Linked DNA regions of Arabidopsis thaliana. The protein of the gene in region 2 purifies or fractionates together with the protein of the main gene of each other region. This does not show direct contact. Each region holds a gene or a part of one and is shown on either strand. Other genes may lie near its edges.

Evidence for each region.
Region 1: the proteins of AT1G10490 (region 2) and RFC2 fractionate together in Arabidopsis thaliana (co-fractionation; one large-scale study listed by BioGRID). This does not show direct contact.

Annotation. Positions count from the first base shown.
Region 1 is NC_003070.9:23,421,190-23,425,742, forward strand, and holds RFC2 (replication factor C 2), read right to left. Parts: upstream 2,726-4,553; 5' UTR 2,583-2,725; coding exon 2,421-2,582; intron 2,147-2,420; coding exon 2,040-2,146; intron 1,949-2,039; coding exon 1,847-1,948; intron 1,750-1,846; coding exon 1,554-1,749; intron 1,464-1,553; coding exon 1,335-1,463; intron 1,255-1,334; coding exon 1,060-1,254; intron 990-1,059; coding exon 879-989; 3' UTR 645-878; downstream 1-644. Other genes in the region: AT1G63150 (Tetratricopeptide repeat (TPR)-like superfamily protein), read left to right, coding at 1-99; AT1G63170 (Zinc finger, C3HC4 type (RING finger) family protein), read left to right, coding at 4,385-4,553. UniProt on the Arabidopsis thaliana protein: May be involved in DNA replication and thus regulate cell proliferation.
Region 2 is NC_003070.9:3,451,403-3,459,269, reverse strand, and holds the start of AT1G10490 (GNAT acetyltransferase (DUF699)), read right to left. Parts: upstream 6,080-7,867; 5' UTR 6,006-6,079; intron 5,711-6,005; 5' UTR 5,682-5,710; coding exon 5,577-5,681; intron 5,489-5,576; coding exon 5,397-5,488; intron 5,158-5,396; coding exon 4,986-5,157; intron 4,905-4,985; coding exon 4,782-4,904; intron 4,703-4,781; coding exon 4,529-4,702; intron 4,417-4,528; coding exon 4,306-4,416; intron 4,227-4,305; coding exon 4,093-4,226; intron 4,008-4,092; coding exon 3,914-4,007; intron 3,716-3,913; coding exon 3,617-3,715; intron 3,533-3,616; coding exon 3,396-3,532; intron 3,274-3,395; coding exon 3,176-3,273; intron 2,688-3,175; coding exon 2,564-2,687; intron 2,470-2,563; coding exon 2,382-2,469; intron 2,302-2,381; coding exon 2,202-2,301; intron 2,123-2,201; coding exon 2,070-2,122; intron 1,847-2,069; coding exon 1,670-1,846; intron 1,587-1,669; coding exon 1,549-1,586; intron 1,482-1,548; coding exon 1,388-1,481; intron 1,311-1,387; and 11 more. UniProt on the Arabidopsis thaliana protein: RNA cytidine acetyltransferase with specificity toward both 18S rRNA and tRNAs. Catalyzes the formation of N(4)-acetylcytidine (ac4C) in 18S rRNA. Required for early nucleolar cleavages of precursor rRNA at sites A0, A1 and A2 during 18S rRNA synthesis.

The DNA.
Region 1 (4,553 bases), about 20 Mb from region 2:
AGTTCTGGGTTTGTTGGAGATGCTTCAACCATTAGCTTGGTGACAAATATGTTGCATGATGGGAGATTGGACAAAAGCTTTCTCAATATGCTTTCTTAAAACAGTTTGTCCTCGAGGTAGGAGGAGTCTGAGGTGAATCATGTTGCTTTACTCTGATATTTTTCGCAACAGAGTCCTTATGTTACATGGTGTGTATTTAGTTGTTATCGTGTCTGTAAGCTTCATGAAGATGACTCTGATACGTTGTTTTGTGTATTTCAATGTTAGGTTAACACACACGAGCTACAGAAGAAGATTTCAGACGTGTCATCATTATGGTTACTGTAGTAGATTTGGTTTTTAACCAAACGTATTTTATAGTTTTGGTTCAATAAATATAACTTTATTTCGTTTCTTGTTCCCAGTTCTTTTTTCTTTTTTTTGGTCACAAGTGTGTTTATTCATAATATAAAGTCAATGTAACAGACCAAGAGTTTACACCATTTCACAATGTCATGCCTTACTCATATAGTGTTATCGAATTACACAAATAGGTTCAACATTTTACCTACAAAAATTACGATTCATCTCTCGCACTTGCGTAGACTATATAGAGTGGTTGTAATGTGTAAAATAATCTGTGTATTGTTTTTTTCATTTATGTGATTTAAACAAATAGCATGGTATTATATAAAAAAATGTGTTGGTATACCAAACTGGTTAGGATTAAGCTTAATATTCAGAAACATTCACAAGCAATTCAAATCTAGAAAACAGAGCAATACAGCATGGAAGTTCCAACATCTATCCGAATTCTCAAACAACGAGATTTAACCAACTTGGTTTAAACATAGACCGGCCACCAGTTCATCACTAGAGATGAGTGGAAGTTACCTAACTTAAGGTGCTTTCGCTGTTTCACGAACAATGGATAACTTAGCCAGAAGACCACATAGCTGAAGATAAGATCCAACTCCATCACAGATTCTCATATGCGCAAATCCAGTTTCCTGAAGAAAAGCATTGGTGTTAGACGAAAGTTTGGATGTTTTGAGCTGTCAAGGAGAATCAGATGTATACCTTCATGAACTCAAGTTTCAGATACTCAGCCATATCGTAATTCTTTATTATACGGAAAAGCGTTGTGATAATGTCGGTTGGAGAGTAGCCCAAATCATAGAGCTGCTTTAAGCCGTCACAGGCGATGTCAAACTTACTTTCCAACACATTGCGAACAATGTTCTTGACATGAAGCGGGTGAGGCTGGTCACAGACCTAAGTGAAGAGATCTTTGATTGATGATATGAAACCAATGTGTTTTATAAGCCAAAGTGAATTAAGGTTTTGTTTCAAACCTTGAAGACGTTTTCTTGGTTGACAAACGAAAACCCGCTGAATGTGGCTTGCAAGTTGTTCAGAGCTTGCCTCATGTCACCATCAGCTGTAAAGATTATCGCCTCAAGGCCTTCAGGCACATACGGAACCTTGAGAGATTGAAAACATAAGCAATTAGAAAATTTTCAAAATTGCAGTAAGTAAACATGTCGAATGAAAGAAAAGTGGCAAATCCGTACTTTCTCTGCTGCAACCACCACCAAGAGACGGCCTAGTATCTGCTGATCAGATAATCTAGAGAATCGAACTAAGGCACATCTACTCTGAATGGGCTCAATAATCTTGGCTGATGTATTACAAGCAAGTGCAAACCGCGTAGAGTTCGAATAGATTTCAATCGTTCTCCTCAATGCTTGTTGTGCTCCAGATGTCATACTAGTTTTTTAGAAACCGAAAACAGAAAGTCAGAAAAAAAAACACTTAACTGGAACAATTCAACTTGAGAAGGAATACTCAAGTAAAAGTCACTAACCTGTCAGCTTCATCTAGGATAACAACCTTATGACGCCCTGGAGGAAGTGTTACTTTCTTCTGCGCAAACATCTTAATTTTGTTCCTTACAACATCAATACCCCTACAAACATAACAGAACATTGAAGATGTCTAACCAAACAACGATTGAAGATAGAACAACATCCCATAGGTAAAAGATTGGCATCACATACCTATCATCAGATGCATTCAACTCCAGAACAGCCTCCTTGTAATTCGTGCCAAGGAGCTCATGAGCAAGAGCCAAAATGCTTGTGGTTTTACCTGTTCCAGGAGGACCCTAAGGATATACAACCAAACAACACAAAATCATATATCAAATCTCCACAAGTAATACTAAACACAGAGATTTTCTAAAAATCAAACCTTCATTAACTTTGGCAGACAATAGAAATTGATTAAAAACCCTCAAAATCTAAGCTTTATCATGAAATCTACACAGTAAACAAACCCAAAATGCCCTAATTGATCAAGTTTTCATCAAACCTAAAACTTTTTAGCAAATTCGAGGAGGGTTTAAATCAAAGAGTGTCAACAGAAGAGTAAAATCTTACGGAAAGGATAAGATTAGGCATGTTGCCGTCGCGAGCAATGACTTGAAGTCTGGAGACGGCGTCTTCGTTTCCAACGATATCGACTACTTTGCTCGGCCTGTATTTCTCCACCCATGGTTCATTGTATCCGTCACCGGTAGAGGTTGATGAAGAAGACGCCATTATCAGTCGGAAGAGAAGGAATCTCCGACCGGTGAGATTTGGAGGGTTTTCTGGTTTGGAGGGAAAATTGCTGGAGGATCCGATTAAGGGTTTTACTTTTATACAATCATTTCATTAAAGGGCCTATAAAAAGAAAACATCCGAATTCTGTACCCAAAGTATATTAATTTCACTATATAGCCCCGCCTTTTAAAACTCGTTGTTACATTTATGCCCAGTTCGGTTCGATAAATTTAAAATTGGTCTATTTTATTATAAATAGATGGGAAAAAAAACCAAAACAAACCTCAATTAATTTTTATTTGGACGTTTAATACTCAATTGTTTTTGGTTGGAAAGTAAATACACGAAATAATAAAATCATACAATTTAATACACAAATAATTAATTGTTGTTATTTTCATACTCACGATCTCACAACAAAAATAAAATTCCAATTTTACTCTTACCATCTCAATTAACTATTATTTTTTGATAATATAATATTAATTATATAATTTTAAATAAAAATTAATTTTATTAACATTTTAGTTTATGGTCTCTAAAATTTAAATTTTCATTTTTATTATTATTATATTATTCTAAAATTTAACATAAAAATTATAGAAAATCAAAAATATTTTAAAATAGTCATTATTACAATCTTCTTCTATCGTTGCAATATCAAAGAATCGTTTTCTCTTTAAGGAAATTTAGAATCAAAGATTAATCTAATTCGTTGAGATTTGGGTTGAGGTTAGCTATTTTGCTACTAAAAACAAAATTAGCCATTTTTATGAATTGATAAATCTTGAGAAATACGATGAGATTCGGGTTGAGATTTTGTCGAAAATAGTTTGATTCTTGAAGGATATACAATCGAAAAGAGAGTTTCTCACTACGAAGAATATTTACCGGCCATTTTAAAATATTTTTAATTTTCTATAATTTTTATGTTAAATTTTAGAATAATATAATAATAATAAAAATTAGAGACCATAAACTAAAATGTTAATAAAATTATTTTTTATTCAAAATTATAAAATTTAATATTATATTATAAAAAAATTAATAATTAATTGAGATGGTAAGGGTAAAATTGGAATTTTATTTTTGTTGTGAGATCGTGAGTATGAAAATAACAACAATTACTTGTTTGTGTATTAAATTGCACGGTTTTATTACTTCGTGTATTTACCTTCCAACCAAAAACAATTGGGTATTAAACGTCCAAATAAAAATTAGTTGAGTTTTTTTTTGGGTTTGTTCCCTAAATAGATGTCGTATAAACTATAATTTTTTCGATTAAAAATTTTCAATTTGGATTTGAGTTTAATTTAGATTTATTCCGGTTTTCGATTAAAAATTATGCTTAAAATTTTTCGAATTTTTGTTAATTTTTTACTCAGTTGGACAAAAGAATAAATTTCGGTTTAATATGGTTTGGTTCAGTTTCTTACCCACCCTTAATTTGAATCAAGTTAGTGTAAGTTTACCATATAGCCACTGAAAAAACTGAATATTACATATATGTCCCCTAATTTCTCTGGTTGTCATTTGAGGAGACATTAAATTCATTACAATTTTGATTTTTTATATTCATTTTTCAAACATCACGTTTCCCGATTTGTCCGACTCATCATCTTCTTTCTCTTTCTGTCTCTCTCTCTCTCTGTTCGAATCGAAACCCTAACAAATCCGAAATTGTCTCTGAGATTGAAATTGCCCCAATTTAATGGCGTAAAGCTTCACCAATTTCATCAATTCGATATCAATTTTTGAAATTTCGAAGAAAGGAAGAAACTTTGAAAAGAGAAAGCAAAATGTCAAGAGAGACGACGACGGAAGCAACGCCTTTGATTTTAACCGACGGAGGAGGAGGAAGGAGATCGGTGAGAAGACAAGGGTTAAGAGAAGCGGCGAGGTTACTAAGACATGCAAGTAGCGGGAGAATGATGATGAGAGAGCCATCGATGCTTGTTCGTGAAGCTG
Region 2 (7,867 bases):
CCCCTCTCCAACTGCATTTGTCTCTGTAAGTCAACGTCATGATCCAATTTAGAACAACCAGATGTGTCAAGAAATTTATCTCCACATGTGTGGTGAAACATAATTCAGCTGGTCCAGATCATCGATTTATTTTAAAGAGTAGATATGTTATACCTCGATGCTCGAGAAATCTGACTCCTGCAAGCCCAAACACAGGAGTACAGAAGCTTGAACATACGACAGCGAGACTGGGAGCTTCTCTTGAAAATAATGATGAGCTAGAGTTTTGCAGATGTCATAAACCTTTGAAAAGATAACAAAGTAAAAATAGTTACCAAACCAAACGAAAAGACAGAGTATCAAGCTTGAACATGCGGTTAGTATTATTTGTCTGAGTCTGTACCAGAATCTTATGATTGTGTAGTTATTTAAGCAGATTACATATCTGACTATAGTACATATTTCCCTAAAATAAGTGACTCTCAGAGAGTGAATCTAACCAGATTGAAGTCAACGAGATTGGCAGTGTATGCTCTGAATCTCTCCATATCATAAGGTGAAAGAACTCCGTCGAGTTTCTTCAAAAATCCATCTGGTGAATTTCCAGTCAAATCAACCTCTGGGAAGTTGATCTTAGGGTTCAAAACACTAACAAAATTGTGAAACGAGTATATTATCAACACAATAATACCGCACCAAGAAAAGTCTAATCATCTTAAAATAGTATTGCAGAAAAAGTCTAAATTTGCATGGGGAGAGAATATGATTAGTGCTAACCTCATTGCAAGTTTATAATCCATCTTCTTGAATTTATCACTCAACAGTTTAGAGAACCTTATCCTGAAATCTGAACAGAGTAGAAGAATTTGCCAAAACATTAAAACAAAACCTGTCATCCTTAAAAGCTACAGAAACATTTGATTCCTGTTAAGAATTTACAAACCTTTATAGAAGGGAGCAAAGAAGCCCAGTTCATCCGACTCATCAACTTCGAATTCATCGTTGCTTAAGGTTAATGGTTTCAGAAGCATACATGTGTGCTCACCAGTCACAGCACTCTGATCCAACCATATTTTAGAAATTGTGTTATGAACTGCTAGACAACACTAGAATTAGTAATTCAGGAGAAGAGGGAAAGAGGGATTCTCAACTGGTATTTGACTGATGTAGAATGGAGCAAATTTATGTTTTCTCCAGAAACGGAAGAGGTCCAAAGTAAGCCCAAAAGAGACACCGATGTAGTGGAGTCTCTCAGGTCGTCGATCACGAAGAGGAACCAGCAAAGGTGGAAGATTGGCACGAGGCTTTATCTGTTCCTCAAGCAAAGAAACCTAAGGGAAAAAATTCAAGTAAGAACTAGAATGCATGATGCAAAACCCTACAAGGGTAGATTAAAATAATCAAGAACCTTTGCAGCAGCCTCGGTAACTCTGACTGGTGAAGGCTCCACTTCCAGTTCATCATCACCTTCTGATATTGAAGCTAGCTGACCCTCAAAGTATCTGCACGTATCAATCAATTAAAATATTTGCATGTATTAATCATCTAAGTCGTAATCATTGCATTTACCTGGTCAAGAGTTCAACCGCAGCAGACCCATATCCCATCTACATAGAATGTAATCAAGAATTTGTTAAATCTCACAAGAAACCTACAAGACTAAAAAAATGAGGCGACTAAGAAACTTTACCTTCATAGCGTTGGGGTGGACTGCTATGCGTACTATACGAGCACCAGAAAGCTTTGGAAAGACCACGTCCCGGAACTGTTCACAGAACTTCCATGGTATTTGATCTCCATGTGGTGAATGACCTTCTCTTAAACTTTTTTCAGCTGATTTCCGAGATATCTGTCCTTCGAGACAGACCTGCATAAATATCAATTTCAAGGATACTTAAGACCAGTTACATCCAGAATCAATCACATACGAACGACAAGATATGAGATTCATGATTTTACAAAACAAAATTGCTGCAAACAAACAATTCAAGCAGACTGATAGCTGCTTTTATTCTTTGTTTAGTCCAACTAACTGTTTTTCTCCAAACAAACAATTTCAAAGAGCAGAGCAGAAAGTAAGAAATCGATACCTGAATAACACACAGTATGTCAGGAAGCTGGTTTTTGGACTCATCAACAGGACCTGTGCCAAAAAGAAAATAAGGCAATACTCTAAATCTGATGATTATCTCTAGCTATGAAAAGGAGGAACAATTGCATACCGAGCAACACAAACAAATGATGAGCAGGAGCATCCGACAAAAGTTGAAGATCATTAGGAGAATTCTTGTAGTGAGAAGAGACACAAAGTGCCATCATTCGCTGTAGAATACCACTTAATGCCTTATTAACAAAATATAGGTAGCAAAAAGTACGTAGGTTGTAAAATCAACTATTATTACCTGTAAAAACAACTCACTGTCCTTGTGATAAGAAAATAAGGTGTCTCGGTTGACATAATAAAGATCACACTGACTTGGCAGAGGATGGCTACAAATGCAAGAAAAATAGAAATCATTTTCTAGATCACTAGTTGGCAAGAAAGGATGGCAACATTCTATTTATATGAAGTGAAATACCATACCAAGCAGGATTTGGAAGACAATTAGCAACATCAAGGCATAGTAATCCATTAAGCCAGGATTCAATTGGATCTCCAGAAGCGTATCTTATAGACTCACTAAGTTCTATTTTCTTGAAAAGGCAACCTGAATCCAAAGAAAATTCAGACAGTCACGGAGTTCCCCAAGATAACGAATCACATCAACTAGATAGTGTAGGAAAAAGAGGATATCTAATACTACATACTAAGATATGAAAGTAGTAGGCCCTGCGTGAGAGAACATTAGTTCTAATGAATATGAACACCCATCAGACAGAGGACTACTCTGCATGAAGTTTCAATCAACCTTCGGAGGCCCTTAAGGCCAAACTTAACAACAAAACCTACGTTCTTGGAAAAAATCATTCACATATATTCCTCAAACTTAGGAATTGGAGCAATGGTTTACTTCAAAAACATAAATTTCTTTCTTATGAAAATGCTAGCTGATAAGCCCCGACGCAAAGGCATTGGAGCGATATTTTAAAAAAGATGAACTTCTATATTCTTAATAATAATATTGGGATCTCTACAAAAAAAAAATATCCAGGTTGCCACATGCCAAAAGTGAAAGCAAGATGTAGTAGTAAATACCAGAAAGAGAGCCTTCAACACCAGTGACAGGGGCTCGGCTTTGCTCTTCTAACTGTTGGAGGAGTTTCAGGGACAAAGATCTACCAGTACCTTCATAGCTTTGGCAAAGAAGGTAAAACAAACAAAAATCAGCAGCCTGACTGACCCTATATATAATCAAGCCATGCATATATCTTTCAATATCATGGGAATATAAGCATTTTACTCCTGTTTCACATACCCACTGACAGTAGATGATAAGAAAACTAGGTAAGGGCCAAGTAGAGACTTCACAACTGGCAAAGGAATAGCTGCCGCTTCATCAATAACCAACAGCTCCACTTGTGAGAGCTTTTCATGTTCATGCGGTTGTATATACTGCATGAAAAAAGAAGAAGAATAAAGCAATTTATCGATCGACACAAACTACGGCTTCTTACAAAAATTCAGGGTTGGACAGACCTGGATAGTTTGCCTGTGCTGCTTGAAGATATTGATCCGTACGATGGCTTTATTAAATTCAGGATTCACACTTCTCACGACATCATATTCAAGATGTTCCTTCAAATATATAGTTGAAGATAGAGTTCAGAAAATTATATGGTAATCCTGAATTAACATGCAAAACAAAGTAACATTTTTCTTCTTCCAGGAGATAGTGCAGATTTCAAATCTATGACAACCCCAACAAAATGGAAGAAGTCCAGCAGTTTCTAGAAAATTGCTTCATATGTGTGATGCAGAAGAAGCTCATATTACCTTATATTCAAGTGCATCGAAACCTTTGCAAACAAACTCGAAGACTGTTTTCAAGTTATCTGGGCTCGGTGCTGTTACGTAAATATTAGAGTACCTAACAGAAAATACGATATAGAATTAATAAGACAATAAATACTATTAACAAACATGAATAAAAGCTCAAAATAACTCAAGCCTACCCAGCAGCAACAGCCCCAGCAACAGCTAGACCAAGTGCAGCAGATTTTCCACGCCCACGACTAGCAATCAGAGCAACTATGCTACGGAGGGTCTTATCCAATATTGCATCGAAAAATGTGACAACAGCTTTACCCTACAAAAGAGAAAATTCAATACTGATCCAATGTGCAACACTTCTTAATCCAATGTGCACAGCTGACTAAACCACATACCTGATCCAATGTACAACACTTATTAATTAAAGGACCAACAGGAAAATCATCGTTTAGTGCATCTTTCAAACTCTTCAGGTCTCGTTCTGCCTCAGAAAGCGCTTCCGAATCCTTTTATTACAAACACATAAAATTGAAAAGTTAAAGATGCTAACTGGTATGATGGAAGACAATCTCTCTAAACAACCCATGAAAAGAAGTGTGAATTTGCTATAGAAATTACCTCCTTTGTTGGAACTTTTGTGATAGATTTGATATGAGATGAAAGTGGCAATAAATTCAACTCATCATCCATGACAACGCATGCTTTGCAAGATGCTAGTGACAACAGAAATCGTTCATTGAAACGTCCGGAAGCTTCAGAGTGTGACTCGGTTCGAAATCTATCATGCACATCCTGATATGAACAGAACCAATCATGTAACTCCAAATAAGTAGTTAGCAAACAACATAACTAGCAAAATCAGTCTTCATACCATAACCATGGTGCAGAGACTAGTAAGTGAAGCAAGCGATTGTAATAATAATACAACTAGCCCACCCCCTTCGACTGTCTCTATTGTTCTTGCTAGTAGATTTGGAGTTAGAGCTTCAAAATCCTGAACATAGTAAGAATAGGATGCAAATATGAGTAAGCTGCAGCAAAAGTAAATGTTTCTTCAGCCATTAATCAAGAGTACCTGTAAGATGCAGATGCCAAAAGTATTCCCAAGAATTCTTTCAGAATCTTTGTACAAGCAATGAGTAACATCCACCACATCAAGAAAAAGAGAGAAAGCGTCGAGTTTTTCAGGATCTAATTGTCCTCTCTCCTTCATCTTCTTCAACTGCTTAGCACGTTTTTTATTGTGACTGCACACAAAACCAATTACACCCACTCTTTTTCAGGACCAAGTTATCAACAAATAGAACTCCACAAATATGCGTAACATAGCTCACAAAACCAGGTTCCATCATTCTCTTGGCATGGAAAATTCAAAAGAAACTCACACCTAATTATTAACTAGGCTTCAATTAAGTTTTTAATAACAAAATTTCAACGCTTCAACTTTTGCAAATATCTAATATTTGAATCGGTTGATAAATCAAACCTGCTAATGTCGAGTCTATTCTTGTAGCACCATAGCACACTTGGGTTAGACTTGACCACCGATTTTGACAAAATGTGATGAAGATTAACTATCTGTTACATAACAGAATCAGAAAAGTATTAGACTTGAAATCCGAGGAAAATGCAAAGTAGAAATTATCTATAACAAGAAGAATTTTACCTGGTCACGAGCCTTATCACCAATAATGACAAACATGGAACGGTGTCTAAGTTTAACACCGTTTTCAATCAGAGTCCTTATACGTTCGTCTACCTTCTTCCTCATTCTCACACCAGTTATTGGTTTTGCCTAACCTTAATTAAGCCGAAATCAAAAATTCAATCAAACACAGGTTTTAGCTTAATGTAGAGTAAAAAGGCAGGAACTTGTTTGAAAATATCTAATGGAACATCTCAATTCGAATAAAGTTTCAAGCTTTATAGGGTAACCAATGAAGCAAAAGTCTCAAAGTTGAGAATAAACGGAGAAAAATCAAGCAAAAGAAACACAAAACCGGCTTCGATTCCTGTACTTACTCGCACTGATTACAATTCCTAACTGTAAAATTAATTCTTTCGTCGGAAGTAATGTTTGTGACAGAGAACGAACCTGAGGATGGTGAGTGAAGCGAGAAGAGAGGTAAAAGAAGCAGCTTGATGTGTGTGTGTGTGTACCAAAGCAGAGAAGCGCGCCCTAAGTCAACCATCGGTCAAAACCTTAAAACCCTAAAATTCAATAACCGACCGGTTTGTTTCTTCTTCACATTTCCCGGTTTGTAGGTATAAGACGGGTTTCTTCTCCATTAATTTTTAGCGGTTACATAAAACCGAATTGAAAAGCAAAGAAAAACTCAATAACAAGATCAACGGTGAATGATATTAAACAACAACAAGAAAACAAGATCAACGGTGAAATATGTTTCATATCCTAAAACGTCATAAGTTACTGGAAGTGATAAAAGAATGGGTTCCTGCACACGACGTGAATCGAATATTTACTATTGTGCAAATAATGATGCACGCAAATAGCCAACTATGCATTAAATTAAGAAAAACGAAGATTTTTACTTGTCTCTTAGTACACGTTTTATAATCACAGTTTCTGGAAGAAGGGTCTCTGATCGGTGTTCTACCAAATTAATTGTCTAGATCAACTGATTCATTTAAAATCAATTTAAATTTCAAAAACTTACATCTAACGCCAATGTTTTAATTATTAGATCAAGAATCATTCAAACTATTAAAGTAACCGATAATCCTTGTCCTTTTTTTTTACGTAGAACATGTTATTGTCATTTTATAAGATACTAATATAACTTAGTCTTTACCTGATATAATAATGTATGTATTGCGTTATGTATAGTTTTATTGACGGTCAAATATAACGTTTCACAATGACCAATCAATAGTTTTTGATAAATAAACTTGCTTTTAAGAAAGCAATAATGTCAATAATAAAAGTTATAATGGAGGCATATATATGATATTTACTAAATTATAATCCATAATTGAAAGAAGAATGGGTGGTACAGATGGCGAAGTCTTGTTCAACAAATGCTTTAATCAATTTAGATCAACAAGCTAACCTTACCTGGCTTGGATCTATCTTTGTCTCCCACAACATTATATAACATTATCTCTTCTTTAAACAAAAATAAATCATTTCAAAACTGATAATTAGTGGTTTATTGTTTTAAGTAGTAAGCAGTCTATCCTCCATTATGATTACATTTCACATGCCATGATAAAATGTTGCATGCATGTATGATAATAACTAAACACATTTAGGTGGCCACTTAGATTTATTTTATTTTTAGTTAGGGAAAATTATCGGTTTTCGAAGCCATATTGACAAGTGTTAAATATGGCATACTAGAACACAATGCGTGACAGAGTCCTCCATTCTGTGATTATAGCCTTCACTTCTTCCGTCAAAAACCTAGAATTTTCAGAATAGTAAAGGAAAAAAGAGATATGTAGGTTGATTTCATATTTTTATATGTCGTAAATGTACAAATTTATCTGTCATTACGTAAATTCCAACTCGGTCATACGCTCGTGTATGATTTACTCATACGTAATGCAAGGAACGATGTTTCAAACTTAACAAAAACATATTTACCAAAATTAGGAAACATACGAATTGGACAATAAAGGAATAATACCTTTTAAAAACATTTTTTTTTTTAATTAAATGGGATAAGCATCCAATACACACATAAGCAAATGGAGTTCCGTTGGTGTCGGAAGTGACATGTGTAGACAAAAATTAAAGGGACCTCCAACACTGGATGATGGATCTTAAGCTTATCATTCCAATCACGCAAATTAATTTAATATACAAACCTGCCGACTCCATTTATTATATGTATTTTTAAAGCTGTACAGTTACGAATTGATGCACATATTTGTTTGGAGATTTAATGGGAAATGTCGAATCAATCTTACACCAAATCTATTTGAAAGAATAAG